Linked DNA regions of Neurospora crassa OR74A. The protein of the gene in region 1 interacts with the protein of each later gene in a pairwise test. Links are inferred from orthologs where the notes say so. Each region holds a gene or a part of one and is shown in the gene's direction. Other genes may lie near its edges. The genes, in order: NCU03085, NCU08026, NCU02546, NCU02305, NCU06678, NCU11251 and NCU06540.

Region 1 (3,672 bases):
GGCGCAAGGATCTGGAGCACGTCAGAAAAATGTCTCCAACACAGGATACTCTTATACACTCACTCCATGCGCACCACTATCCAACGCTCCTGTAAAGGGTACATCAGTAACCGTCTGAGTGATAAGGCAATACGAATGGCACTCACGCTTGACCATCGATGGCTGAAGGTCTGGGATCCGGACAATAGGAGAAACGCCCAGGGCAGCAATGGCCGGAACTGCTTCGTGCATCGCAGCATCTGACCAATATCATTCAGCTCAACAAGCCCCATCATTCACCACCGTATTACGGGTTACCTACCGTCGATGTTTCCATGCTCGCAGTCAACCATTACCCAGTCAGCCCCCGATCGAGCGAGAATCCTCGAGATATTGGCCCCGGGTAGCATCTGCCAGACACCCATAGCAGGGCGGCTTTCCTGGGTGAAGATTTGCTTCAACGAATTGGCCGCCAGCATCTTGGAAGTTGGGTTACCGGAAGACATTGTACGGAGTTGGTGAAGCGGAGTGACGTGAACGACTTTGTTCAGTGAAGAGATATGATGCTTCAGGAGTTTTAACGTACGAAGGGGAGGAAAGGCATGCCAAGTCAGTGGGGATGCAGGTGGAAGCTCGGACTAAGTCAACCCGAACTCTTTTAAAGCAAATCCGATAACACACAGTACACACTATGATTTCAAAGTTGATGTGCAGCTCCGAACCAAGGTCCCGCCGCCACATACTCGAGGTCAACTGTAATAACCTGACGGCAGATGGCGAGGAAATGTACTGGCTGCGTTGGGTGAACAAGTTCAATTGCTGGCCAATTTGGTACACCTTCGGGAGATGTTCGTCCCCTGCCTTCGTCCAAGAGATACACAGTAGGGCGGGGCTCCTACTGCGGGGTTCGCGTCTGTATCTCCCTCCGCATTCGGTTCTACCTAGGCTGTTCTGACTGGAGACACCACAACCTCTGCCGGTATTCGGATTATTGACATGTTCAAACTTTCCGAGTCACGGGAACGGCAGGTTCAATGGGCTTGAATGGTCTCATGGAAGTCCTTCAAGCCATGGTGGACGTTGACATCCGCATCTTGGCCCTGCTATACGTATAAGCTTCCACAGAATTTCATAGGGCTCTTTGAGACTGCCGCAAGTCAGCGACGAGAAGCTCCAGGAGGAGAAAGCTCTGCATTTCTGATGGTAGACCATACGATGATGAAGGCAATTATTCAAGCAGCAACCGAAAACAGTTGAGGGCTGCATTGACACCCCAAAGCGGATAAAAGTAAACAAAGCAACCCTCCCGAATGAAAAGGGGCAAGCTGATGGGTGAGCGTCGCTTTTGCGGCAGGCAATTGAGTGGAGAATGGATCCGCTTCAGAAGCTCCAGCCTTCACCACAGTGCTGGTACGTTGTCTGCCGTGAGCCGTCGTCAGTGATCTGGGCTTGGCGATTCTACGGAAGAACAAGAGAAGCTCCAGCTTCAACGGCGACGTTCTTGTCCCATCCCCACGATTTAACCACATCCCTCCCCGCCAGCATTACGTACCCACTATTCTTCTTTGACGCGGCGCGCCGACCAGGTTGTATTCCTCTTTCGCGATCGGTCAACGAGAAACGAAAACATCAATAACCACGAACCAATTGCCCCATTCGAAGCGACGAACGACCAAACGACCCCATCCGGCCGGGCTTACCAAGATCACACGAAGCGAACAAATTGCCCTCGAGTTGAACCGACGACTTTCTGTCTGCAACCACGTGTTTCGCTTGAATCAATACTCTTCAAGTTAGACCGTGGGCTTTACGTGATACTTTGCTTATCACCGCGGTCTTGGGCCCGCGCATTGCCGGTACGAGAAAACACACAAAGACTACAGTAATAGCATCTACTCATCCGTCACCATGTCGGCGGGCTTGGTAAATTCGTACCTCAACAGTTGGTCTACCCTTCTACCTGAGCCCTTCGGCTTTTTCGACCCCTCTTCCTCTTTCCTCCATTGCTTCGGTCACAAGATCAATTGGTCACGGCATCCCAAAGTTAAAGGATATTCGCAAGACCAGAAAGCTAACAGATCCATCTTTCGTTACTTTAGAAAAGGTTTGCATAATTACAGTCGATGGCCGCACCTTAGTAGGCACACTGATCTCGGTAGACATGAGCACGAATGTGGTCAGTATATGCTCCCTCCCAATCCATACTTCGATACAGTTCCTCTGCCACCTGATAAACAAAACAAAGCATATCGCGAACGACAACTAACCCTCCAACAAACTAGTTCCTACAAAGAGCAGTTGAACGAGTCATTCGCTCCCCCGATGATGACGAGCCCTCGGCCGAGATCGAGCTGGGAACGCACATGATTCGCGGGGACACGGTCTGCCTGGTTGGGTTGGTTGATGAGCCGCTGGACGAGAGCATAGACTGGACCAAAGTCAAGGGGGCTACGATTGGGACGACAAAGCACTAGAATATACCACCGAACCATTGAACCGTTTCTGCGCTATACCTGAGCGCGTGAAGCATGGTGTCACGCTCCCTCAAAACCAAGAAGAGGAGGCAGGAGAAGGAAACCAAGGGGAAAAAAGACAAAAGTCGAACGGTGTGGCGGTCGCGGGCAGTTGACATAAAGGACAACACCGGTGGATAATGTGCGTGGCACACAAGATTTGGTTGCATCATTAGCATTTGACACGCGGAGCTACAGGTTTTCTTTTACTACATTGGTATGCCCAATCGACGATCTTTCTTCCCCTCTTACTTCCCCGTTAAGACTTATGCTGACCGACGAAGAAAAAATAAAACAAGGTGTCACGGGCAGGTCCAGCTCTCGGTTTAAGGAACCCAGCGAATATTGATTTCAGATACCCCAGATCTCAAAAACTCCGCGTGGAATAGATTCGCTTTCTATATACAAAAGAAGAAGAAAATCAACAAGTGCTGCCGGCAGGTTCAACCAAAGAGTCTATCCATCAAGATGGCGGCAAACTTCTCGTCGCCGGGGGTCTTGACCATCCTGTTAATTCTGTTTCCCTTGTTCACGCTTAGCCAGCCCATGTCGTCTCCGGGGACATCGTCAAAGGTGGTCGCATCCAGAGGATCCGACGGATGCGTCTCCACCTTGCTTGACTGCTCACCCGGCTTCGCCCTCTGTCGTCTGTCGATGACATGCATGCCCCTGGTCCATTGGCCGGAGGTCTCAATTCTAATATCTTCCGGCTTCGCCACGGGTTCCCATGCGGGGTCATCCTGGGTCAACATGTACCAAATGCATGCCGGGTCATGGAGGGACAGACCGGGCTCACTGCCGTCGCCAAGCATGGCTTCGACTTTGTTGAAGATGCCTGTCATGAAGGTCTCGATCCACAGCGCAAGCGGGCTGCCGGACTTGGTGATCGGCTGGATGGTCTCGTAGAAGTACTTTTTCCTCAGCTCGAGCGGGGTGGTGATATCAAGAGGGAAAAGGGTCAGCTTAAGCTGCTTGGAAAGCTTGGCGGGGTAAGGGGGCAAAAAAGATTTGCCGTGGATGACAGGGGGCATGGTCGAGCTCGGGTTGGGCGAGGTCAGGGCGTAGACGCGGGCGGCGGCAACGGTATCGGCGAAGCAGTTGAACTCGGCGACGGGGGTCACGTTGCCCTCGACGTTTACGGCACCACCCATGACAACCAGCTCCTTGGCGCGCAGGAAGG
Region 2 (3,620 bases), on another chromosome or scaffold:
CAGGAGACTCGGACAACGGAAGCCAAATGACACCCCGAAGGGAGACACCACAACTAGTCCTCACGCCCCGAAAGACGCTCCAGTGCGGATGGATGGCTCGGCCCGTACATATCGTTGAATGGATAGACTGTTGTCATCATTGTGCATGGGACAAAGGAAAAAAAAAAAAGGCAAAGTACCTACCAGATGGGCATGTCGACTCTCCCACTAGACGCAAGATCGTTTTCAGATCCTATATAACTTGAAGTTTGTTAGCCAACTTGCTCGCAGCATGTGTGGTGAGGGCTGTCGTTGCAAGAAAGAGTTGGGGTGATTGCCATATCAGAAGGTTTTGGTATAATTGGTTATCGCTCATTATTATTCAGAAGCAGAACTGAAAATATTTTGTTTCATCATGGACAATCGGGTGGGTGATGATGTCAGGTGGGGGAAAGAAAACAGAAAGGAAAACAATGTGATGCTTACCTAGTGGGTAGAGACTGAGAAAACGGAGTGGAACAGCAACGGTGACAATAACAACTTTGTCTGTACTATTGATTGTCAGTCAACGGTTCCTCCAAATGAGTTGCAAGTGAAGGATGTGTTGAAGGAGTAGTCAGATGGTAGTGCATGTTTGTTCGATCGCTCAGAGATTATCGCGAGAACTGTGGTTATGGGATCATCATGAGATGTGAAAGGCAAGGGGAAATAAACTTACTCTATCCGTGCGAACCAACGTCGGCCATGTCAGACAGCCAGGACATGCTCTCTAGCAATGGGGTTCGCCATCGCAGAATAACCAAGAGCATGCCTGGACAGTTGACATGACCATGCCATTGCTGCGCCAGCGCAGAAGGCTGCCCAACCAAAGCGACCATGAGCACGGTAAGACCATGGTATCATGGCTGCTCCCCAAAGACAGTGGCCATATCAAATGAAGGCATTGATCCAATGCCGACAATCGCAAGCCGTTCCTGCCGTTGCGAACGGTGTGGGTTGGTGGAAGAGTTCAAGATGAGGTTGGAACTGAAGGCGGCAGAGTTTTGTAGCTGCGCAAAAAATTCCTCCATCGGTGGCTTTGACATGGAATTCTGGGTGGGGCATGTGGCTGACTGATCAAAATCGACAGTGAATGTGAGGTTGCGCCACAACTACTTGAATTTGAGAGTGGACCCACTGCAGTGTAGACGGCGACTCTCACGTCTTGTTTTCAACAGTCAACAGAGGTACCAACAGAAGTTACCAACCGTGAAACAAGGAAAGCCATACACAGACGAGGTCTCTTCCTCTTCACCTATCTCAGGATTCTTCGACCAGAGAAGGGCATCGGAAACAACACAGCAATCACCAAGCCCACCATATCTCCGGCCCTCGTATCTTGGCTTCAAAATGGCCGACAGAAGACGTATTAACGGACCGGTTGGGACTACCAACCCTCCCATCTATGACGATGCACCCGAGAAGCAATCCGAAGGTTTCAAGGTCACAAGGTCACGCCCGGCGAACGTAATTCGCAAAATGTGTAAGCACGTCGAGGACAAACCCTCCTGTTTCGCAGACACAGACTAACCTCACGTTTAGATCTCAAGACGGGAGTGACACCGTCGGCCTCTGGCTCTGCTTACCTAGAGATCGAGTCGTCTGGAAACGGCGGCTCTGGCTTGAAGCTCAGTTGCAGCGTTCATGGACCTAGAGCTTTGCCCAGGTCAACACCTTTTTCTCCTCACATCATCTTGTCCACCCATGTCAAGTTTGCACCCTTTGCGACCAAGCAAAGGCGTGGTTACATTCGTGACCCGATCGAGAGAGATCTCGGCACTCACCTTGAGACGGCTCTTCGGGGATCTATCATTGCTGACCGTTGGCCAAAGAGTGGAGTGGATATCATCATCTCCATTGTTGAAGGAGAGCAAGATCGGGAGACCTCCAAGGCCCAGGGTATTGAGGCCTGGGACACCATGAATGCCTTGAGTGGCTGCATCACCGTTGCCTCGGCTGCACTTGCTGACGCTGGCATTGACTGCGTCGACACTGTGGCCGGAGGTGTTGCTGCGTTGGTACAGGACGCAGGTAATGACGCTGCTCCCAGCATAGTTGTCGACCCGATTCCTTCTGAGCATGAGAAGGTTCTTGCAGCGTGCTGCATCGCATATCTTCCCACACGACAAGAGGTCACCAACCTCTGGTTCAAGGGTGACCTACCTGCGTCCGATATGGACGTTTATACGCAGCTGATTGAAAAGGGCATTCAGGCTTCCAAGAGCGCCAACCGCGTGCTCGTGGACTGCCTGAACGAGACCGTTGGGTGATCATGAGGTCGGCGCGGCAATGTATTATTTGTTTTAGCTATGCGCGAATGGGAAATACTCGTATTGAAACCTGTAAGTCCATCAACGGGAAAAACGCATGGAATTCTATGGTCTGACGGTTCATGGTCTTTGAGTACCTCTACGATTTTGGTCGATTTATCGACCCGAAGACCAGCTTCTGATGCAATAGGTCGAGCTACCAGCCACTTGGTCTTTCGCAATAGCCCATATGTAGGGCAGAAGTAACGGAAGATGCCAATCGATAGCAGCGACAACAGAACTGCGTTCCGAGGTTCGGCGGCTGACTGCAAGAATGGAATGGTCAACTTCCGGCGGGAATAGTTTCGAGATGCCTGTCAAGGTCTGACAGGTTGAGCGAGCGCTCTTTTGCTGAAACTCAGCTGGAAGATCGCAGTGTGATGGACGAATGACGTCCAAGAAGCGTTGTGGCTGGTATGCAGAGCTACCCTCTGAGGTTGACTGCCGAAACATTATGAACCGCGGGGTATGAGAAGCTTCCACGTTCTTCGCCTCAATGATCGTCTGTTTCTGAAATTGGAAACATGATGTGGGGAGATTACGCGTATCGTTTCGTTCATAGCAGCACGGCATGTTCGAAGCAGGGCAGACATGGCCAAAGGTGGTGGCTGATCATGAACCGAGGTTTCACTATTACTGCGTAGGGCATACATACACTACACCTGAACTACTTTCTTTTCGTGTCCGGCACGATCTAATCACTTTATCTGAAGGGGACTGTGGTGAATAGCTCGTATCTTTATCAACATTTCGAGGTGGAGGTAACATAACATGATCAACTACATAATCTGCACAAAGATCGAGTAACGTTGCGTTATTACCGGCGTTCTGGTCCGTAACTTTCAGCATTACGAACGCCACCAAGGAAACCCAATGGAACTGAAGTCACTGCATCCGAAGGCGGACGTGGTACCACCACTCACATATTGGCACAGTGCCGGCCGCGTTCAGCGACGGGGCGCCCCCCGGCGTGGCGTGGTCCCGGGCCCCTCTTTCCCCTGAACTTCTCCTTATCTGCCCCCCCACGGTCCCTCCAAAAAACTACAGACATTTCCCAGTTCGGCCCACATTGTCCACTCAGGCGGGAATTGTAAAACGACCTGACAATCCAATCTTTCCCGTCATCCTCCAAAATCTCACCTCACCCAGCTTTCGGGCGAGTTTTCTCTCGCTTCGCACCTGGTCATTTCACTTTTCCCAAAACCACCCCTACTCTCGTTTCTTCCGACGGTCCCGGCTGCCTACCTACCTACCTACCTACCTACCTACCACACTGTACACTTTTAATTATTC
Region 3 (3,934 bases), about 1.8 Mb from region 1:
GGCGTTGTGGATCTTCTCGGTGAAGTGTTTGTTGACGTGCTCCTCCAGCTCCTTCTCGTCCACGATGAAGTTCTTGGACGCCACGTACAGCTGGACGACGGCGTCCCGGCGCGCCTCGCTCTTCATCGCCTCCTTCTCTGCATGTTTAATACGCGCCTCCTCGGCCTTGACGAAAGCCTCTGGGTCCAGGGGTACGAATGTGTTCTTGGCCGTGCTCTCGCGAATCGTCGCGCGCGTGAACACCTCGTCCAGACGCTCCGGCGCCTGGGCCGCCCGCTTGTTCGCCAAGTAGCGCGCCTTGCTCTCCTTCGCCTGCTTCTGGTCGCGCTTCACCTTGCGCTGCCAGAGTCCCTGCAGACCGGCCTCGAGTGACTGGCGCCGGGCCTCGGCCATCTTGCGACGCCACGACTCTTGTTTCGACTTGGGCGGCAGACCAGCCAGCTCGGCGGCGGACTTGGGAGCGATACGATTGACATAGCCGGATTGGACCTTCTCCGGGACGCCCTTCTTTGGGAAAATGGAGCGGGGGATCGGGAGGTGGCCCTTGACGAAAGGGTGCCTAACCTCGGAAGACTGCGGCGGCTCGGGGACCTTGATGTAGTTGGGCGAATCGGGGGGGATGGAGACCGAGTCTCTAGCCGATCGGGTGGTGCTGAAAGATCGGGCGGCGATGGCGCGTGTTACTACGCTGGTGGCAGCGCATGTTGTGGTCGGGGAAGAAAGGATAAATTGCACGCCGCTGAGCGACGGCCTGGCAAGAGTTGGCGCCATTTTTGAGGTGGAGGGTTGGCTGAAGACGGGGTGAGCGGGATGGGGTCGGAGTTGGGAGACTTCTGGCCGGGCCGTGCTATGCGGAGGTTTCGTGCGACGGAGGGAACGGACCAGGCGGGTGCAGCGGCCTCTCGCTCTCCTAGGTAGGTAGGTTCGGCTCGGGATCGTGGGACACGCCGCGGTACGAGGGGGCTTTCAACTCCGTCGAAATTCTGAAAGCTCGGGGAGGCCAGAACGGCGCTAGAGTGCTCTTGGTGCTACTAGCTTTGCTGGTCGCGGGCGTTCTGCCGTCGTACACCGCTAAACTTTTTGTGCATGGGGACCTTTGCGCGGCCTCCACACCCCGCCCAAAAAAAAAACTGACAAAACTTTCGCCGGGACCAGTCGCAGAGTTGCATTTCCTCCTTCTCATTCCTTCCTCGCTTCCCTCTCTTCTTTTCTTCTTCCCCAGTCCATTCATCCTCTCGATTCTCACGCAACACCCTCTGCCGATATCTGATACCCCATAGCCTCGTTTCTAGCCTTTTACCCATTCTTCCCTATTTTCGTGTGCTTCTTCTTTCAAGTCAATCTCAAACCCCCCGATCTACGGATACCCCCAGCCGCTCTCGCAGGCGAGAACGAAATTCTTCCACATCTGCATCCTCTACCCACCAACCTACTCGGTAATCTGGCATTGAGTGATATCTGCCAAAATGGGAACAGGAAAGAAGGAAAAGTCTCGCATTCAGCGACAGGGCAAGGTGACGGGTGATCCAAAGGTCAAGGGCGAGAACTTCTACCGGAGCGCAAAGAAGATCAAGGCCTTGAACGTGCTGAAGGAGGGAAAGGCCATTCGCAACAAGGAGGGCAAGGTCGTCAAGGCCGCGTCGTATCAGAGCAGAGATGTTCCCACAGCCGTCATCGAGCCGAACCGGAGATGGTTCAACAACACCAGAGTCATTTCGCAAGATACGTTGACATCTTTCCGGGAGGCGATTGCCGAGAAGGACAAGGATCCTTACTGTACGTTCAACTCTTCCGTCACTTGTCCGGCCGACCAAGACTAACGCACCTTGTCTTGTAGCGGTGCTGTTGAAAAGCAACAAGCTCCCCATGAGCTTGATCAGAGATGGACCCAAGGATGCGTTGAAGAAGCACCAAGCCAAGATGACGATTGAGAGCGAGCCGTTTTCACAGACCTTTGGCCCCAAGGCCCAAAGGAAGAGGCCAAAACTCAGCTTCAACACGATCGGTGACTTGACAGAACACAGCGAGAAGAGCATGGATACATACCAGGCCAGACTCGAGGAGATCAAGCTTCTAAGTGGTGCTTCTGGATATGGCGGTGGTCTTGCCGATGACGATGTTCAAGAGGAGGATTTCAGTGTCGCGACGGCCAAGGAGGCTATCTTCACAAAGGGCCAGTCGAAGCGTATTTGGAACGAACTGTGTAAGTCCTTCTGTGTTTGGGGACTTGTGACTTCGGGTTGCTAACCATCACATAGACAAGGTCATTGATTCGTCAGATGTCATCCTGCACGTTATCGATGCCAGAGATCCTCTGGGAACCAGGTGTCGTCACGTTGAGAAATACCTTGCCACTGAGGCTCCTCACAAGCATCTTATTTTCGTGCTGAACAAGATCGATCTTGTTCCTTCCAAGACTGCTGTAAGTGTAGACCATTATTTGCTTTCACTCCTTCTGCTTGAATCTCTTGACTTGCCTCGCGCAAATCCTGAGGTTCCCAGGGATTTTGTCAGGATCTTTCCCGCATTCAGTTGCGCTTCATTGGGATTGGTCTGTTACATCGCTGGGAGATTAATATCCACCTCCCAACCTCTCTGGTCCCGTCTTGGGATTGGGGATTTGATGGACTCCGTTTTGGAGGACTTCACGGGATACCGGACGTGTTTCGTTTGAGTTGAATTCCACCCTGCCTTTGAGCAGACTCTACCATGGTGGTCTTCTTAGTTATGATTCACACATTTCTTCACATTATACATATATGTTATATTCAGTAACGAGTTGAGGACTAACTGAAAACAATAGGCCGCGTGGATTCGCGTTCTGCAGAAGGATCATCCTACATGTGCTATGAGATCTAGCATCAAGAACCCCTTCGGTCGTGGTTCTTTGATCGATCTTCTCAGACAGTTCAGTATCCTGCACAAGGACAGGAAACAGATCAGCGTCGGTCTTGTTGGCTACCCCAACGTCGGCAAGTCGAGTATCATCAATGCCCTTCGTGGGAAGCCCGTTGCTAAGGTCGCCCCTATTCCCGGAGAGACCAAGGTCTGGCAGTACGTCACCTTGATGAGGAGGATCTACCTCATCGACTGCCCTGGCATTGTTCCTCCCAACCAGAACGATACGCCACAGGATCTCCTGCTCCGTGGTGTTGTACGTGTGGAAAACGTCGATAACCCGGAGCAATACATCCCTGCGGTATTGAACAAGGTCAAACCTCACCACATGGAGAGGACATATGAGCTCAAGGGCTGGAAGGACCATATTCATTTCCTTGAGATGCTTGCTAGGAAGGGCGGCAGACTTCTCAAGGGTGGTGAGCCTGACGTTGATGGCGTTGCGAAGATGGTTCTCAATGACTTCATGCGAGGCAAGATTCCTTGGTTCACGCCTGCCCCCGAAAAGGAGGAGGGTGAGACTGATACCATGGAGGGTCGCGAAGGACGCTACGGTGAAATGTCCAAGAAGCGGAAACGTGACGAGGACGACAGCGCGCCTGCTACCACTCCCGCTTCAGCAGGAGAGGATGCCAAGGAGGAAGACCCTGAGAACTTTGCCGGGTTCGACAGTGACAGCGACTCTGAGGTCGAAGAGGCTGCTGAGGAGAAGGGTGAGGAGAAGAGCACTGCTGAAGATATGATACCCCTGGACGCGTCGAGCGATGAGGAAGAGGATGGCGAGGAGGAGGGCTCTGACGTCGAAGATGACGAGGAAGGATCCGACCTCGACATCGAAGGAGCCAGCGAACTCGAAGAGTCTGAGTCAGAAGCCGAGGCTGCGCCAGCACCTCCCCCGAAGAAGCAAAGGAGGAGCAGGAAGTAAACTCGGTCAGTGAACGCGATGGGCGGCTGGGGTGAACCGAGCATGCGTTCAATAGCCGACCTCAGGGTTGGTAACGATCCAATCGGATCATGACGGCCGGTGTCACTGATA
Region 4 (4,062 bases), on another chromosome or scaffold:
ACTTTTTGCGTCTTCTTAGATTTGTGTCCTCGGCCGCAGACTCCTTATTATTGATGGCAATCAGCTTGTCTGCTGCCTCTTTGTCTTCTGGTCCAACAACCCACGTCTGCACCACTTCCTTGACCTCCTTGAAAGTCTTGTCCTTCTTCTTCGCCTGGCCGAGATGCCACACGTATCCCGAGTACAGAGCTACTTCAGCAACACCTGCGATGATACTGCCTCCCATGGTGAGGAAAATTCTAGCCGGAGTGCTCCACCAACGCGCCAAGATCCAAAGAGTAGCTGCCACGCCTAGAATGGTGACCATGAAGTTGAAGATGAGCATTAGTTGGCGGTGCACCTCGTCATACGTCACATCATCGTCGCCCATGTCTTCCTTCCGTGTAGGTCTGTTGGCTTCGGCGAATGCCCGAGCCATGCCCGTGCTTGAAGGGAATCGTTGCGAGAAGGTCTCCATGGGTGGAACGGGGTTGATCATGCGTTCATAGACGCGTTCCTCTTCTTCACGGCGAAGTCTGGCCATCAATTCTTTGTATTCATCGGACTGTTTTGGGGATTAGCTATGCCTCCCCAGCTAGTGCAGTGAGGTGAGTAATGTCCACTTACCGGCTCAGGCTTCGGCGGTGGTGGAGGCACATAAACCCTGGAACCTCTCAACAATACCTCCAGGCTGTACTCTTTATGGTGACCGGCGGCTTTGAGTAGATTTCGCAAATCCATGATTTGACCATGTGAGATGGGTGAACCAATGTCGACATCGGTTAATGACGGCTCGCCATCTCGCTGTAGTTTACTTGGGCCATCTGGAACTCTTTGTAGAGCTTCCAAGATGGAAGAGGTCACTGTGAGGAGGACCATGATAGCGTAGTATGATTTGGGTGCGTAAAGTGTGTGATATTTATGCTTGTTCTGATGTCATGGAATGATGAAACGTCGCGAGGGAGCTGTTCCTGGTGTTGTCACTCGATGAGATAAATGCAGTGGAGTCATCAGGTGCACCCAACCCCGAAAACCCCGTTTCTCCAAATTCAGGTCCCTGTACCTGGAGCTCTCACACAGCTTGGATCGATTCAAGTCGAGCTTGTCTGAAAAGAGCAAGATCCGCACCACCAGCCTCAGATCACTCACAAGTCCCCCGAGCTTCAGCCACGTGAAAGCCACAAGAAATGGGACAAATGCCCGCAATGCCAAGCTTTTGGACCTGCAGAGAGGGGCTTATCTGCTGCAGTGAGAATGGAAGGTGACGGATGATCCGAGCGCCAAATTTTTGGAGGATGGAACTTTTCGGGATCGGATGAAGAGGAGCAGTCGCCGTTGTCACGGTACAGTTGTATATTGTAAAGGTCAAGTAAGCCGCGCCCACCAGAGGGAAGACTGCTTACATACCCACCACCGTCCACCGACCGCCGACCACCACACCCACCTCTTCGCCATCCGGATGGTTGGACTGAGCCTCCTCCGAATTCCATAGTGCCACCACACGACCACAGAAAAAAAGTCCATCTACTGCTCAACCCGTGACCCGTCACACCCGGCGACAAGCAAAGCGAGAGCTGTTTTTTTTATTTACTTTCACAACCGACTTCCTGCCACCACCCGATCGGTCCTCAACAACCCCACGACAGTCGCATCCCAGCTCCGAATACACCCTTACATGCAAGAGACACTTGCCAGCTAAACAGTCAACAGTCAATTGGTCCTTCTCGGCAAGAAGGACGTGCGCGGGAAACACGGGAAACATGCAGCTCCGGACGGGAGCGGCTTCGGTGGTTCGGACGGGTCTTGGTCTTACACAGTCGAGATGTGCCGTACAAAGCCTTACAGCAGTGCCCCTCGAGCGGAGGATACGGCAGTCCAAGGCCTTCTACCACAACACCAAGAAGAACGACTCGGCATGGGCTGCTGCTGTCTCGGTGGCCGGCAACATTGTCAACAATGCCGTGACCAAGGCCATCAAGGGCACCGACGGTCTGCCCACCATTGACCCTCTCCGTCTTGTCGCCGGCGAGATGAAGTTCCTAACAGGCAACATCCGCAAGCTCCTGGGCTCTGGCCACCCCTCGCTCGACCGCGCCGCCAAGTACTACACACAGGCCGAGGGCAAGCATGTGCGCCCATTAATCGTCCTTCTCATGTCTCGCGCCACCGCTTTGTGCCCCAAGGCTCCTCAAAGGCAACAATCGACTCTCCAGGCCTCGGCCGCCATTGATACCTCGATCTCGCCTCTCAACATCCTCTCCGACTTCAACCCTTCTGACGCCACTCCCGTCTCCATTCCCGCAGATACCGACATCCTCCCTTCCCAGCGACGACTTGCCGAGATCACCGAGCTGATCCATACCGCCTCGCTTCTTCACGACGATGTCATCGATCACTCCGAGTCCCGCCGCGGCGCTCCCTCCGCCAACCTCGAATTCGGAAACAAGATGGCCGTCCTGGCTGGTGACTTCCTTCTTGGCAGAGCCTCCGTCGCCCTTGCCCGCCTCCGCCACGCCGAAGTCGTCGAGCTTCTTGCTACCGTCATTGCCAACCTTGTCGAGGGCGAGTTCATGCAGCTCAAGAACACGGCTCGCGACGAAAAGAACCCCAAATGGTCCGAGGAGACTCTCACCTACTACCTCCAAAAGACCTACCTCAAGACCGCTTCCCTGATCAGCAAGAGCTGTCGCGCGTCTGCGCTGCTGGGCGGCGCTGATGCGGCGACGGTGGATGCTGCCTACTTGTATGGCAAGAACCTCGGCTTGGCCTTCCAGCTGGTCGACGACATGCTGGACTACACTCGCAGTGAGAAAGAGTTGGGCAAGCCTGCCGGTGCTGATCTTGAGCTGGGCCTGGCGACTGCCCCTCTACTGTTTGCCTGGAAGACGATGCCGGAGCTTGGTCCGTTGGTTGGCAGGAAATTTGAGAAGGAGGGTGATGCTGCTAGGGTATGTTTCTCCTGCTCTGCTAGCTGTTCGATCTCTCTCTCACACACACACTCACACAAATGCTAACATCGTTATGAACAGGCAAGAGAGTTGGTTCTCCAGAGTAACGGCATCGAGCAGACCCGTGCTCTCGCCCAGGATTACGCCGAAAAGGCCATCGAGGCCATCAGCGGGTTCCCAGACAGTGAAGCCAAGGATGGCCTAATAGAAATGGCCGTCAAGACGCTAAAGCGCAACAAGTAAAGCACCACCAAAAAGCAAACAAGAAAAGGGCGACTAACGGCGGTTATTGTGACACCTCCTGAACGATAAAAAAAAATCAGATGGAGAAATGCATACATATGCTACTATGTAGTAGCCCCTGGGTAGAGTGGCACAAGAGTCGAGATCAAGCATAGAGTAGAGGTAGGTAGCCACATAGGTATGTTTGGCTATGGATGTACAGCAACAAAATATGTGGCTACGGGTGTACAAGCACAGGGGGAAAAAAAGGGAAAACGGGAAAGACAAAAAGGGGCCGGCATGACTACCATAGCTAAAGCAGAAGGCTTTTTTTTTGTGGACGTGGATGTGGTTTTGGGCGGACGACACATACGCGGCATACATACATGTACTATCATCATCATCATCTTCTATGATTTTATAAGGGCGCATTTGCGGGAGCAATGGGAAAGATGAATGGGATTGTTGTAAGAAGGAACCTTTGATTCAGCTCAATACCATGCGGGTTTTCAAGGCATCTTGACTATCGGGTCTGCCGCGTGAACTTTGAAACGGGTCGTATTCCAGTTGGGGATTGATCTGCAACAGTTGATTTTATGGTTATCACCTTGGGTGATGTACATTAGGCTAACCATTCCCTCCTTCCATATCCTCCTCCATTACCCACGTTCGATTCGAACCTCATCTTCTTTCTCTCTTCTACCTAGAGGTATCCTGCCCACTAGGTACAACTTTTTTTTTCTCCTTTCTTTTTTTTCAAACAGCTGCAAACTTTCTTTAACCCCCGATAACGCCTTGACCACTACTTCCCCTCTGAGGTGTGGCTGTCGGAATTCTCGATATCTGCGCCGGCGCCGATGTGAGGAGGTGTGGAGGGAGGAGTATTGTACGGCTGGATAACGGGAGTCATCGT
Region 5 (4,204 bases), on another chromosome or scaffold:
ATATTTTGTTAATACTTCCTTAAACCCGATGAAGAATATTAAAGAGGTTAGAAATTGGACTTTAAAAGATAGTTGTGGCTAGTATAGAATGCCTTCGCCTGGGTTCGAATTCCCAATAGAATACCTCGATAAGTTTTATCTCTCTAGGGAGGAATAGTTCCAGAGGATGTTCGTTGCTAATGGTTAGTATAAGTAAAGCTTGTAATTATATGCGTATTGGGCTATAGTACCCCTCGATCTTCCTTAGGTTATTTTTTTTTTCTTTTTTTTTTTTTTCTTTTTTTATATTATTATCCTTAGGTTATTATTTACAACTAGTTTCATGTGTTGTCTTTATTTAGAGCCGGAATTAAAGTTTTTTATTTTTTTTTCGTTATACTTTCTTATTGTTATATTTATATTAAGGAATATATATTTTATACTATTATATCGAAATAGTCCTAAAGGAGGCGTATTTGGGGTAGCCTGAGGTGAATATTCTTATTGGCTACCTATACGGTACCCGTACTCTAATTTTCTTATATACCTAGGTTAGAGTTTTAATTTACAATTATTAGAAAGGGAATAATAGGAATTACTTCTATAAAGAATACCCGCCACTTAGGTAGCTTAGATAAGTAATTTAATATAGCGCTTTCTCCCCTACTACCTACCTCTATCAATATAAGTGTAATATTGATTGAAAATTGCTGTGAAATAATTGTAAGGCTTTTGTTACTTAGAATAGATATTAATTGTTGAATAAATAAATATAATTAAACAATTATTATATTAATAAGAATATTAGCTTGCAATTAGCAATTTAAGTGAGTATATTTATTATGTTGTATATTTTGTAGTTCGGGTCGTATTGTTGTGGTACAGTTCGCTGTTGTCGTACTTTTGTGCGCTGTTGAACGGTTAATTCCGTTTTGTATACAATACCGCGTTAATAGTCGTTGTACTATTAATTAAAACTACGTATTGTAAAATAAAACCAACTTCAATACAACAATATTCAATTATCTAGTAGATTACAGTAAGAAACAATATTGTGTAAGGATGTTGTAGCCCACAACCCCTGCTCAAGCGTTTTATACTATAAAGGCCTGCTACGCCCACTTTTGTCAGACCCCCCATTCCCTCCAGGGCAGTTCCGTTCCGCTCGTCGAGGGCGGAGGCTCGCTTGAGGTTCGTTACCTTGAGGTTCAGTAGTAGCTGGTGCGGGGAGAGAGCTGACAGTGACAGCCGGGAGCCTGATGAGGTGGCGGAGCGCTCACTACTGGCCTGGCCTGGCCGGGCCGAGCGCTAGTACCTAGCTCTAGAGGTACCTCTACCTCTACGACCGACGCTCACGCCGCCCCCAGGCACACAGTCAACCCGCGTGGGGCAACGGAGGCCAACTAGAAACTGCAGTGTGTCACAGCCTGAACACCTAGCCAGCCCGGAGCCCAGGACCCGACACCTTCTCCGTCCCATCCACACCTCTGACGGACCTTCCACTTTTGTTTCTCTTGCGGTTCCATCTCGTAGACATCACCCACTTCTTCCTTTACCTCCGTCTATCTCGAACATAGGCCGCCAACGTCCTAGGCCACTCCTCGGATTCTCAACCTTTCCGCTTTTCTTAGCACTATAGTAGCTTCTTTTCCCGATTGGCGCTGTCGGTTGCTCCAAGGACACTCCTCTTCTTCCCTTCCATAGACAGCATCTTCAGTCTTGGACCTTGCTGCTTCGTCCCCCCTCGGTTTATTGCACCATTGCGATCCCTGGAGGCTTCGCTATCTAGAAACCCGGCCATTATTATTCAGTGCCGGCATTTGAACGACCAGCTTGACGCCTCTCCTTCGCCCCCTGACAGCAGTAACTAAGTAGACTCCCCGTCTGCGACATCTCCTGCGACCGCTCAGCGCGCCCCAATTTCAGACCTCCTTCGCAAACTTCTAGTAGTGTACACATCTAGTCCGGCACCACAGGCCACTTAGTCAACATGGGGTATATGACTCCCACATCAAAGCTCCTCCCTCGCCGTATACGCGCGCGTTGTTCAGGCGTGTGGCTAATACCCCCTCTTGTCCAGTGTTCCCAAGTTCTTCAGATGGCTCTCGGAGCGGTATCCCGCCATTTCTCAGCTCATCGCCGAGAACCGTATCCCCGAGTTCGACTGCCTTTATGTTCGCTGCTCCCTCCCGAGGCCTGATGGCTGTCTTGCGTTACTTGCCTAGCTAACCGGTTTGCTCAGTTGGACATGAACGGTATCATCCACAACTGTACCCATAAGGACACGAGCGATGTACAATTTCGCATGACAGAGGAGGAGATGTTCATTGCTATATTCAACTACATCGAACATCTCTTCGGGAAAATCAAGCCCAAAAAGCTTTTCTTTATGGCTATAGATGGCGTTGCCCCTCGCGCAAAGATGAACCAACAGCGTGCTCGTCGTTTTCGTACCGCGCTGGACAATGAGAAGGCTAGAGATAAGGCGATTCGTGAGGGCAAGGAATTGCCCAAAGAAGAACCTTTCGACAGTAACTGCATCACACCTGGTATGTCTGGCGCTGGTGCCCGCTTGAATGTTTTCCCCGGAGGCTAACTAGCTGCATAGGAACCGAATTCATGGCCAAGCTCTCGCAACAGCTGAGATATTTCATCCATAAAAAGGTCTCGGAAGACAGGGACTGGCAACAGCCCGAGATTGTCTTGTCTGGACACGAGGTCCCTGGTGAGGGTGAGCACAAGATCATGGAGTACATCCGCAATGCGCGCGCTCAACTCGACTATGACGCGAACGTCCGTCACTGTTTGTATGGCCTCGACGCCGATCTGATCATGCTTGGCCTCCTCAGCCATGACCCTCACTTCTGCCTTCTGCGCGAGGAAGTTACCTTTGGCCGCGGCCCGTCTAAGCATAAGGCAAAGGGACTGGAGGAGCAAAACTTCTATTTGATGCATCTCTGCATAGTCCGCGAGTACCTGGAGCTGGAGTTCCAGGATCTCAAGAAACCTGGAGCCATGTCTTTTCCATTCGATATGGAAAAAGTTATTGACGACTTCATTCTTATGGCATTCTTTGTCGGAAACGACTTCCTTCCCAACCTTCCGCGGCTTCACATCAATGAAGGCGCTCTTTCGCTCATGTTTAGGATCTACAAAGAAATTCTTCCGCGCGGCGACGGATATATCAACGAGGGCGGTAAGGTCAACCTCCAGAGACTCGGCCTGCTTCTGGAAGAACTCGGCAAGGAGGAGTATCGCTTTTTCGAACATGAACATGAGGATCAAAGCTGGCTTCGGGCCAAGAAGATGCTTGAAGATAACGAGGCAGAGACAGCAAAGGCAAAGACCAAGGGCAAGCTCATCGTCACCACGAACCAGAAGAATCTCTGGAAGCAGAAGATCAGGAAATTCCTTATGAATAGGAGCACTAATACGCTTGACCTCGGTACCGAGTTGAAGGCCGAGGACCGCAAGTTTGTCCAAGACTTGGCTGATACTGCTCACATTCCTTGGGCAACTAAGGAAGATGACGAGGGACACCGCCACCTAATCCTGTCCTTCCCCGAGAGAGACGACGAGTCGGAAGAGGACGAGGAAGCCCAGTCAGCCGTTCTCCGTATCATCAAGAAGTACGACAACGCCCAAGTCCTGGATTTAACTGCGGCCGACTCGAAGGCTGCCATGGAGGTTAAATACCAGCAAAAGTTCCAAGAGTGGAAAGACAAGTACTATGCCGAGAAGTTTGAGGATTGGACCCCAGAGAACAAGGAGGACGAACTCCGCAAGTTGACGGAGAATTACGTCCAGGGTCTTCAATGGGTGCTCTACTACTACTACCGTGGTATTGCTTCTTGGCCCTGGTTCTATCGCTACCACTACGCTCCCCTGATTTCCGATGTCATGAAAGGCCTGAAAGCCGACCTTAATTTCAAGATGGGTCAGCCGTTCAAGCCATACGAGCAGCTGATGGGTGTCTTGCCAGACCGCAGCAAAAAGATCGTGCCGACAGCATATTGGGATCTTATGACAAACCCCAATTCTCCCATCATCGACTTCTACCCAAGAGACTTTGAGCTTGACATGAATGGCAAGAAGATGGATTGGGAAGCCGTTGTCAAGATTCCCTTCATTGACGAGAAGCGGCTGCTTGCAGCAATGGGCCCCAAGAACGAACTTCTCTCGGACGTTGAGAAGTCGAGGAACGATTTTGGCGTCGCACTCAAGT
Region 6 (3,931 bases), about 380 kb from region 1:
ACCAGATAGCTCTCGTTATAGCTTGACAGATACGATCCCTCAAAGCCTCTGTCGGCCTTCGTATTCAAGGCTCGCCTCTGCGTCGCTGAGCGTCTGCGCGGTGTTCGGTGGTCAAACTGGGTCCTTGATGGCTTGGAATCGCACGCATCTGGTACTTGAAGAAGGAAGTGGAATTGTCGTCGACGGTCTTCTCGATATGCATTGAGGGTGGAAAGGCTCGATGAGATGTGGTTTTTACTGTCAAGAAGGAGAGAGAGAAAGAGAAAAAAAACAGAAAAGAGAAAAAAGAAGAGAGTTGTGACTGGGGGAGCGTGCGAAGAGAGAGGTCGACAATGGCAACAATGAAATGGAGTTCCGTGGGCAGCAGAAGTTAAAATAAAATGGAGCCCGGACTCTGCACCTGCAGTGAATTAGGATGGGCCTGGACCGGGTTTGTGACCTTGGGTATTACCTATGCACAATTTAGTACCCCTAGGGACTGGAATGCACTAGCCGGGCAGGGGGCCGCGTCCGCCTCACCCAAATATCCCGCCATTGAGCCAACCACGATAAAGAGAAAAGCGTTCACATCATGCGTCACGGTCTGGGCAGGCCGGGCAGGCCGGGCAGGCGAGCAACTGAAAGGGCGGAAAGACCAGCTGGATTGGTCTGGTGAACTTAAAGGAAAAGGAGGAATTGGCGGGCGTTCCATGTCCCAGGAGGAATTGGCGAGAGCACGTGAAAATCGGGTGAGAGACATCAGACATACGTCTCACCCGCATTAAAGGGAATGCACCATCGGCCATTTTCCAGGCTTTTTCCACACTAGCTTTCAACCTGAAAAAAGCCCCATGTTGCTCTCCATGTCCAGAAATGAACCTCCAATACCACACGGCAGGTGTCATGTGTGTATAGGTAGTGTAGTGTACCAAGGCCGCTGGATGCCGACCCCGATCTTCAGTTTTGACAAGTCTGGGGAATCCGAACAGCCGGGGCTCGATTGGCGGTCATTAAACCGCATTGATCGACGGGCTGGGAAGGGGGAACTGGCCGCACCGTTTGTGATCGCGCTTCCATGTCACCTCGGACCAAACCTACCGTGTGCGAAGTGGGTATTAACGAATGTTGACACCAACAAGGAATCTATCACATATCACATGAAACTTTGAAATTTCAAGTACCTCTTTGAATGATCGGTGAAAGCTTCATGGCGATTCGTTGGTTCACCTTAAGACGAGGTGCCCGTGGTGCTAGGACCGAGATGAGCGCATTCAGGTGGGACAGCTTGTTGAGGGTTAGGGTCGAAGATGCGCCGGAAATTTTAGTGGAGCTCCCGCAACAGCAACGGCGCCAGCATTGTAAACTTCCCTGTGATTGCATCACCTGCTATTTCACGACAGCAAGCAAAACATCGAGCCCTCACATCAAACGGTCCTTTAGCAACCACAAGCCGGACTCGAATCACCTGGCTTTACTCGCGTTCAAGTGTCCAGAAGATTTAGCAAACGAACAAACACCGAAAGTTTAGCACTATGCATCCGGCGCGTAGAGCCTACGTGGAGGAGGCCGAGCCTGAGGTAAGACCATGCTCTATATGCGCCCCTCGCATCATTGAAGGCACCTGCTCAACATTGCAAACAGAGCCCGGACTGACCCCCCCTGAAGCAGGATCGCGGAGGCATGGATCTAGACTCCGTCCGTAAGTCCCCAAAACTCTTGTATGGCTTCCAACCCATGACTGATTTGCGTGTTAGCCCTCGATCGCGACTACGACATCCCCGGTGCTGGGGCTGGTATTGCCCCAGAGAAGGCCTCCGTTCTTCTATCGCAGTTTGAACGAAAACGATTAGCGGCTTCGATTGCTGTTCCTACCGACGATGGCCGGGTACGAGCCAAATTGCGAGAGATGGGCGAGCCTGTCACCCTCTTCGGCGAGGGTCCGGCAGACAGACGCGACAGATTACGAGAACTCATGACACAACAAGCCGAAAAGGGAGGTCAGGAAAGTGCCGATGTGGAGATGCGGGACGCCGAAAACGAGGAAGATGAAGCCGGCGACCAAGAGGAGGAATTTTACACTACTGGAAGCCCGGAACTGCTCCAGGCCCGCATCGACATCGCTCACTACTCAATCCCGAGAGCTAAGAAGCGCATCGAGTTCCAGAAGAAGGAGTCCACCATCCCACTGCGGACACATGTCAAACACCGAAAAGAGATCAAGGAGAAGCTTCAAGGGTTTGAATTGCAAGGCAGTCAAACGGCAGGAGAGCGGCACATCAGCATGACAAGGATCTCGCCTGATGGAAACATGGTCGCAACTGGCAATTGGGGCGGACAGGTCAAACTCATCGAAATCCCAACCCTTGAGCCAAGGAAGACTTTGAGGGGCCACACCAACAAAGTCAGCGGCCTATGCTGGATGCCTGGAGCTACACTGCCGGAGCGCAATGTTTCTCCCGACACAGTCAATCTCGCTTCCGGAGGAGCGGAAGGCCAGATTCATCTCTGGTCTTTGAACCAAGACACGCCTTTGAGAACTCTCTCAGGACACTCGCAACGAGTATGTCGTGTAGAGTTCCATCCATCGGGCAAGTATCTGGCTTCTGCCTCAGAAGACACGTCATGGAGGATGTGGGATGTTGAAACCGGCACCGAGCTCCTTCTCCAGGAAGGTCACTCTCGCGGTGTATACGCTGTCAGTTATAACAGTGACGGATCGCTACTCGCTAGCGCGGGTTTGGACAGTATCGGAAGAATCTGGGATCTGCGGACAGGACGGACTGCCATGATTCTAGATGGGCATCAGGACGGCCATATCAAGCCTATTTATGGTTTGGACTGGGGCTCGGACGGTTACAGGGTGCTCACGGCGTCTGCTGATGGTTGGATCAAATGCTGGGACGTTAGAAAAGTGGAAAGAATTGGAGGCATTGGTGCCCATACAAGTGCAGTGGCCGACGTGCGGTGGTTCAAGGGGTTGGATGACCCGTTGGAAGGAGTGCCTCCTGGCGAAGATGAAAAGGGAATGCAAATTCCCAAAAAATCCGGCACCTTTATGGTGTCGGCAGGCTTTGACCACAAGGTGAACATATTTTCCGCTGACGACTGGGCCTTGGTTCAGTCTCTCAGCGGCCACACAGGGCCTGTTGCGAGTGTTGACGTTAGCCGGGATGGAAAATGGATTGTAAGCGGTGGCCATGACCGGACGGTCAAACTTTGGGGAAGAAACGACTCCAGGAGCTTGTATGATTCCTGAGCAGACATCAATCATGTGCGCGACAAGAATCTTGTCGTTGCCTCTCGCATAGGAGCAACACACCAAGGAGGGCGTTCAGCAAGCGACAGGCCAGGGCTTGGCTTACCGCTCCACGAGAGACAGTATCGGCAGATAGATTGCATAGAAGCCGTCTCAATTTGTAGATCAACAACCACAACTGGGTGCCCATAACAAGCTGCCTTTGGTACATGCGTCTGAGTTGCCTTGTGGTTGCGTTTCACTGACCCGGTAAGGATAAGGGGTGTCACCTGACCGCGAAAGTGGGCCTGTTGAGATTCCTTCTCCCTTCTTTTCTGCAGTGACGCGGGCAGGGTTGGGCGGGACACCTGCCGCTCGCGTTGGTTGGCGTTGGTAAAGTCACCCTGGCACCCTGGGAAATGGTGACGCACGGTCCATCGTGCGAAGCTTGGCTTTCTGATAAAGGGCGATAAAACAATGGCAGCAGACGCCATCACCGGGAACTTGTAGCGTTGGTCCGTTTTCGAACCTTTGACTTCTTCGTTTCTCGCATTTCTGCATTTTCAAGTGGTTTTATCCCCAGCCGGTATTTATCGCGAGAGACGTCATTCACAATACCCTCAACTCACAGCATCCGGGCAGCTCAAGTCCCCATGCGCATCAACCCGCTCAAAGCTGTCTGAAGGGCGACACGGGGAGGATTCGCTTATTTGGGAA
Region 7 (4,093 bases), on another chromosome or scaffold:
TAGAGGTAGTTAGGTGCGAACTAGCCTGTAATGAAAACATCCCAAAAGTGTCGGTATCTACCTACAACATCCTCAGCAACGTCCGCAAGTGGCCTAAATAATATCTACATACCTACCAGAAGCTATCGCATTCCCCGTTCCTGATGGTCGCTTGCGGTGCATTCCCCTGAGCACCTCAATGTTTCCGTCCGGCCAGGACCAAAAGATTGGCCGCGGGGGTAGGCGGCAGGGAAAGACATTAGGGTGCCCTCGGTGCCCCCACAGCTTCGTCGTCACCTGTATCCGCAGGTACCCCATTATTGCGGGCCGTGACGGTTCTAGCGTGGCCCTGTTAGTAAGGGACAAAAACCCCCTTGAGACGGGCGTCGTCAACTTCCAGGGGCACTACCTACCTCTACGACGACTTCAGTTCACATGTCGCATCCGTCAACGGAGGGGTATGTCTTGAGCTTCTTGATCCTTTTACCACGCTGAGAAGTGGCTGATTAGCTCATACTATGATACTTGGGTTAATATGATCTGCTGCCGGCCTGCTCCCTCCGCATTGCTCCTCCGATCGGAGTAGTTCTTCAAGATGGCGAAGAACACCGACTTGAGTGATGGCCATGATACCTCCCTCTCAAAAGAAACAACAGGGAAATACCAGGCCCCTGATATAATTCAAGTTCGACTGCATACTATGTACAGTAAAGTCACCTGTCAAGAAAACAGCCTTAAGATAGCCATGCCATGTTTGCCTCTGTCCATGTCCGCGCTTCCGCTTCACCTGCATCGGAATGGCGAATTCACATACTTAGAAGCACAGTCTAAACAGCTGCGTTTAGTCACGGATGTCACGGCAGCAAAATGGATGCCTGAGCTACTGTCCTTGCCCTTCAGCTTTCTTGCCAAAATCGATATCTCGAGCTTGAAATTTGGTTGTCGGCTTGGCGTTAAATGTTGACCATGAGGTTGCCGTCCCGTCCGGGTCTCATGTTGTAGCCTCCAGTTGATCACTGTTACGCATCACAACTAGCGGGCGGGTATCGCCGATTGGCTCATCGGATAAAACAACTTGCAAGACTGGAAGGATGGAATGGACATTCTTGCCGGCGGTTGAGGATCCCACAGCCCGGCAGGCAATGGGCCTCTGGTTGCCGCCCAACCGTGGCAATCACTCCCCCGGCCGCGGCCTTGGAAGTCCCATCGTCAGTCAACGAACGGCAAGACAGGAGGGTGGTGTGTCAAAGCGTCAGGCCTACCGCCGCCCGCCCACCTGTTGCCAGGCTCCATTGGCCCTCGGGGGCGATTGGTCCACAGCTCCCTGATCTGGCTTCTGAGTTGGAGTTGGCCTGACTTCATCCATCTGCGTCGGTCTCTTGTCGCCTTTTGCGCTGCCATCAAGCTACCACTCCGAGCAACCGCATCCACATCTTCACCGCGGCGCACCCAGTTGCGCTTCCGGTCGTTAGTTCACAGCCTTCTTTGCTTCTCTGTTTTAATATTTCCAAGCCGAGCGCTGAGTATTTGTTGCCGCCCTGACAAGCTCTGCTCCGCTCCTTTGCACGAGTCGCACCGCCGTCGACACGTCTCCTTTCCCTTCACGTCGCGCATCGCAGCATCATGGTGCTTGACCAAACCGATCATACCAACATCTTTACATATCGTTCTGTACGTTGTTCTTTGATTTCTCTACAGCGTGCTTGCAACCTCGGTATGGCAAGGTCATGGGATGAAAGTTGGGCTCCCATGTCCCAATTCTCCATCTTCCATGTCGTTGTTGTTGCCCCGCGCTTCAAGAGACAGCTCACCACCCCCAGCTAGGTGGAACATCCATCGAGTCGCCCCTCTGCTTGGCTCGGGCTGTTTGACCACTGGACCTTCAAGCCCTTCCTGTTTCCCCTTCCACCCAGAACTTCGTGAACCTGCGTCACGGCTGTTCCTTCTTTATACTTCTCGTCCCACTCACCAACCAGGGTCTCGTCTTTTGCTTTGCCCCTCATTTTCCTCTGTGCCCTTGCCAATCAGCCAAAGCTCAACATCGCACCCGGATTTGCGCCGCAACGATCTTTCTTCGCTCAACGTATACTGACCCTACAATAGTGATACCTCTGTAGAAATTTTCCATAAACCCAACAGGCATCGCCAATATGTCTTTCTTCAACTTCGACCAGTCTCGCCATAATACCGCCGCTCCCGGCTTCTCCCAGGCTCACGATCCCTTTGCCAGCCTAGCCAACCGGGACGAGGAAGCCGAAGAGATCGACTTCGAGGACACTTATGACGGCTTGGGTGACCAGCTGGATGAGACCGACGATGCCTTCAATGATGATACTTTTGGCGGCGATACTGGCGAGCCGGGTCCTGTAGGCAAAGACTTTGACTTCTTTGGCCACACCGCCAAGGTCGCGAACGTCATTGAAGAGGAAAATGTTCGTTTCAACCGCCAACAACCAGCTGCCAAGGCTCCCCAGCCTGTCGCGCAGCCATCGGCCTATACGCCCATCGCCGGACCCTCGTACAACTATTTCGCGCAGGCTCCAGTTAGACCTGCCAGGACCGGCTACGAAAAATACCACGAGCAGCCGATCGAGGATCTTCAGGTTGACGCTGCTCTCTGGGGTGTCGCACCCAAGAAGCAACCGCCGCCGCCTGCTCAACCTGCCGTCCCTAGCGCGCCGTCTGGGGGCCGCAAGATGCTGAGTCTTGAGGAGGTTGAGGCTCAGATGCGCGCCCAGGCTAAGGCGGCCACCCCATCTCCCGCTCCTCAGCATCAGCCCCATCAAATTCCACATGAACAGGCTTACCTCTACCAGCACCAAGCTCAGAACCAGCCGCAGGCTCACTTCCAAGCCGGTGTCGTTGAACCTCTGTACCATCAACCGCAGGGACATCCCATGACAATTCTTCAGCGGCCTCACTCGAAGCCTCCTACGCCAGCCCAGCCCTCTTCCCAACCGCCCGCTATTCAACAGCATCAGCAACCCGCTGTTCCTCAGCAGCCTACTCAGATCCTGCAGAACCCCAACCGTCTTTCAGGCGACGCGGCTAAGATCGGGCTGCCTGTTCACCCTACGCCTCCGTCCGGTCCTCAGTCCGCTCACCAGGGCCACAGGCAACAAGGCTCTCTTCCGCGACAGCCCCCTATGATTCTTCATCCTGCCCAGCTGGCTCAGCTCTCGGAGGAGGAAAAGGCTGCGTATCTTGAACAGGAAGCTAAGCGCGCCAAGCGCAACCACAAGATCTTCCAAATGTCTCGCGACAATGGTATCATGACGCCACAGGACAAGAATTTCATCACCCGGATCCAGCTTCAGCAGCTTGTCGCAGCCACTGGAAATCCCAATGAACACGGCACAGACGAGTCACTCGCCGAGGACTTTTACTATCAAGTCCATAGTCAGATCCAGGCTGGCCATCGCCAGCACCCCAGCCAGCCTCTGAACCAGTTCGCTCAGACTTATCTGTTTCAGACAGGAAGCCGTCAAGGAGGTATGCGCCGCCATAACAGGGGTCCTGAAAACCATATGCAGAGGATGGAACAACAGGTCCAGCGTGCTGTTGAGGCGGCCAAGAACAAGCCCAAGAATAAGCAGCTTGTTATTGAAGGTAGCTTGGGCAAGATTTCCTTCAGCAACGCCAAGACCCCGAAGCCGCTTCTCAACATCAAGCGTAACGACAGCGCCAGCGATGTGAAGAAGGCACCGCATCCTGTTAATGGCCGGGACAAGAAGGACGAACTGAGGGCCCTCGAGCTGGTATACACTACACTTATGAAGATGGAAGACCACGAACGCAACATGCCTATGGCGCCTGCCGAGGACGATCAAGAAGCTCTTGCCAAGGTCTTTGCATGGAGTAACGAGGGACAGGCGTTGAATGAGCAGCTTTGGAAGGCTCTGAGGGTGCAGGATCACGACCAGCCAGGCCGCATCCACCCCTTCATGGCCCTTCTCAGTTACAGTAAGGGCAAGAAAGCCATACCGCGCATCTTCCGTCACACGAACCACGAGCAAAGAATTACCATTTTCACACGCATTGTCGTGAATCTCGACCAACTCGACGTTGTCCGAGAAGCTCAGGTTACAACTGATGACATCCAGTTCAACGCCGC

Evidence for each region.
Region 2: the proteins of NCU03085 (region 1) and NCU08026 interact in a two-hybrid assay, tested with the Saccharomyces cerevisiae proteins (3 studies listed by BioGRID). The link is inferred for Neurospora crassa OR74A from reciprocal best matches to the Saccharomyces cerevisiae genes LSM8 and MTR3.
Region 3: the proteins of NCU03085 (region 1) and NCU02546 interact in a two-hybrid assay, tested with the Saccharomyces cerevisiae proteins (2 studies listed by BioGRID). The link is inferred for Neurospora crassa OR74A from reciprocal best matches to the Saccharomyces cerevisiae genes LSM8 and NOG2.
Region 4: the proteins of NCU03085 (region 1) and NCU02305 interact in a two-hybrid assay, tested with the Saccharomyces cerevisiae proteins (2 studies listed by BioGRID). The link is inferred for Neurospora crassa OR74A from reciprocal best matches to the Saccharomyces cerevisiae genes LSM8 and COQ1.
Region 5: the proteins of NCU03085 (region 1) and NCU06678 interact in a two-hybrid assay, tested with the Saccharomyces cerevisiae proteins (2 studies listed by BioGRID). The link is inferred for Neurospora crassa OR74A from reciprocal best matches to the Saccharomyces cerevisiae genes LSM8 and XRN1.
Region 6: the proteins of NCU03085 (region 1) and NCU11251 interact in binary tests that used the Saccharomyces cerevisiae proteins (3 or more experiments, as listed by UniProt). The link is inferred for Neurospora crassa OR74A from reciprocal best matches to the Saccharomyces cerevisiae genes LSM8 and PRP4.
Region 7: the proteins of NCU03085 (region 1) and NCU06540 interact in a two-hybrid assay, tested with the Saccharomyces cerevisiae proteins (2 studies listed by BioGRID). The link is inferred for Neurospora crassa OR74A from reciprocal best matches to the Saccharomyces cerevisiae genes LSM8 and PAT1.

What each region holds. Positions count from the first base shown.
Region 1 is NC_026501.1:4,492,938-4,496,609, reverse strand, and holds NCU03085 (small nuclear ribonucleoprotein Lsm8), read left to right. Parts: upstream 1-1,407; 5' UTR 1,408-1,887; coding exon 1,888-1,921; intron 1,922-2,078; coding exon 2,079-2,155; intron 2,156-2,261; coding exon 2,262-2,453; 3' UTR 2,454-2,935; downstream 2,936-3,672. Other genes in the region: NCU03086 (HpcH/HpaI aldolase/citrate lyase family protein), read right to left, coding at 1-11, 64-89, 147-239, 302-485; NCU03084 (inosine-uridine preferring nucleoside hydrolase, variant), read right to left, coding at 2,936-3,672. UniProt on the Saccharomyces cerevisiae protein: Component of the nuclear LSM2-LSM8 complex, which is involved in spliceosome assembly. The LSM2-LSM8 complex plays a role in the biogenesis of the spliceosomal U4/U6-U5 tri-snRNP complex by accelerating PRP24-mediated annealing of U4/U6 di-snRNA.
Region 2 is NC_026504.1:3,956,973-3,960,592, forward strand, and holds NCU08026 (3' exoribonuclease), read left to right. Parts: upstream 1-1,175; 5' UTR 1,176-1,368; coding exon 1,369-1,501; intron 1,502-1,560; coding exon 1,561-2,288; 3' UTR 2,289-2,360; intron 2,361-2,422; 3' UTR 2,423-3,120; downstream 3,121-3,620.
Region 3 is NC_026501.1:2,685,352-2,689,285, forward strand, and holds the start of NCU02546 (nucleolar GTP-binding protein 2), read left to right. Parts: upstream 1-1,134; 5' UTR 1,135-1,466; coding exon 1,467-1,776; intron 1,777-1,837; coding exon 1,838-2,203; intron 2,204-2,258; coding exon 2,259-2,422; intron 2,423-2,803; coding exon 2,804-3,823; 3' UTR 3,824-3,934. Other genes in the region: NCU02545 (hypothetical protein), read right to left, coding at 1-771. UniProt on the Saccharomyces cerevisiae protein: GTPase that associates with pre-60S ribosomal subunits in the nucleolus and is required for their nuclear export and maturation.
Region 4 is NC_026507.1:2,992,345-2,996,406, reverse strand, and holds NCU02305 (decaprenyl-diphosphate synthase subunit 1), read left to right. Parts: upstream 1-1,262; 5' UTR 1,263-1,739; coding exon 1,740-2,927; intron 2,928-3,008; coding exon 3,009-3,170; 3' UTR 3,171-3,658; downstream 3,659-4,062. Other genes in the region: NCU02304 (hypothetical protein), read right to left, coding at 1-544, 607-858; NCU02306 (hypothetical protein), read right to left, coding at 3,659-3,728, 3,956-4,062. UniProt on the Saccharomyces cerevisiae protein: Assembly of polyisoprenoid side chains.
Region 5 is NC_026505.1:4,232,173-4,236,376, reverse strand, and holds the start of NCU06678 (exonuclease Kem1), read left to right. Parts: upstream 1-1,404; 5' UTR 1,405-1,969; coding exon 1,970-1,974; intron 1,975-2,059; coding exon 2,060-2,153; intron 2,154-2,221; coding exon 2,222-2,528; intron 2,529-2,587; coding exon 2,588-4,204. UniProt on the Saccharomyces cerevisiae protein: Multifunctional protein that exhibits several independent functions at different levels of the cellular processes. 5'-3' exonuclease component of the nonsense-mediated mRNA decay (NMD) which is a highly conserved mRNA degradation pathway, an RNA surveillance system whose role is to identify and rid cells of mRNA with premature termination codons and thus prevents accumulation of potentially harmful truncated proteins.
Region 6 is NC_026501.1:4,871,908-4,875,838, reverse strand, and holds NCU11251 (pre-mRNA splicing factor), read left to right. Parts: upstream 1-1,354; 5' UTR 1,355-1,511; coding exon 1,512-1,556; intron 1,557-1,620; exon of another isoform or gene 1,621-1,644; coding exon 1,645-1,678; intron 1,679-1,733; coding exon 1,734-3,235; 3' UTR 3,236-3,431; downstream 3,432-3,931. UniProt on the Saccharomyces cerevisiae protein: Involved in RNA splicing. Is required for the association of U4/U6 snRNP with U5 snRNP in an early step of spliceosome assembly.
Region 7 is NC_026504.1:1,578,099-1,582,191, reverse strand, and holds the start of NCU06540 (topisomerase II associated protein), read left to right. Parts: upstream 1-1,293; 5' UTR 1,294-1,650; intron 1,651-2,082; 5' UTR 2,083-2,129; coding exon 2,130-4,093. UniProt on the Saccharomyces cerevisiae protein: Activator of decapping that functions as a general and active mechanism of translational repression and required for P-body formation. First decay factor recruited to mRNA, at a time when the mRNA is still associated with translation factors.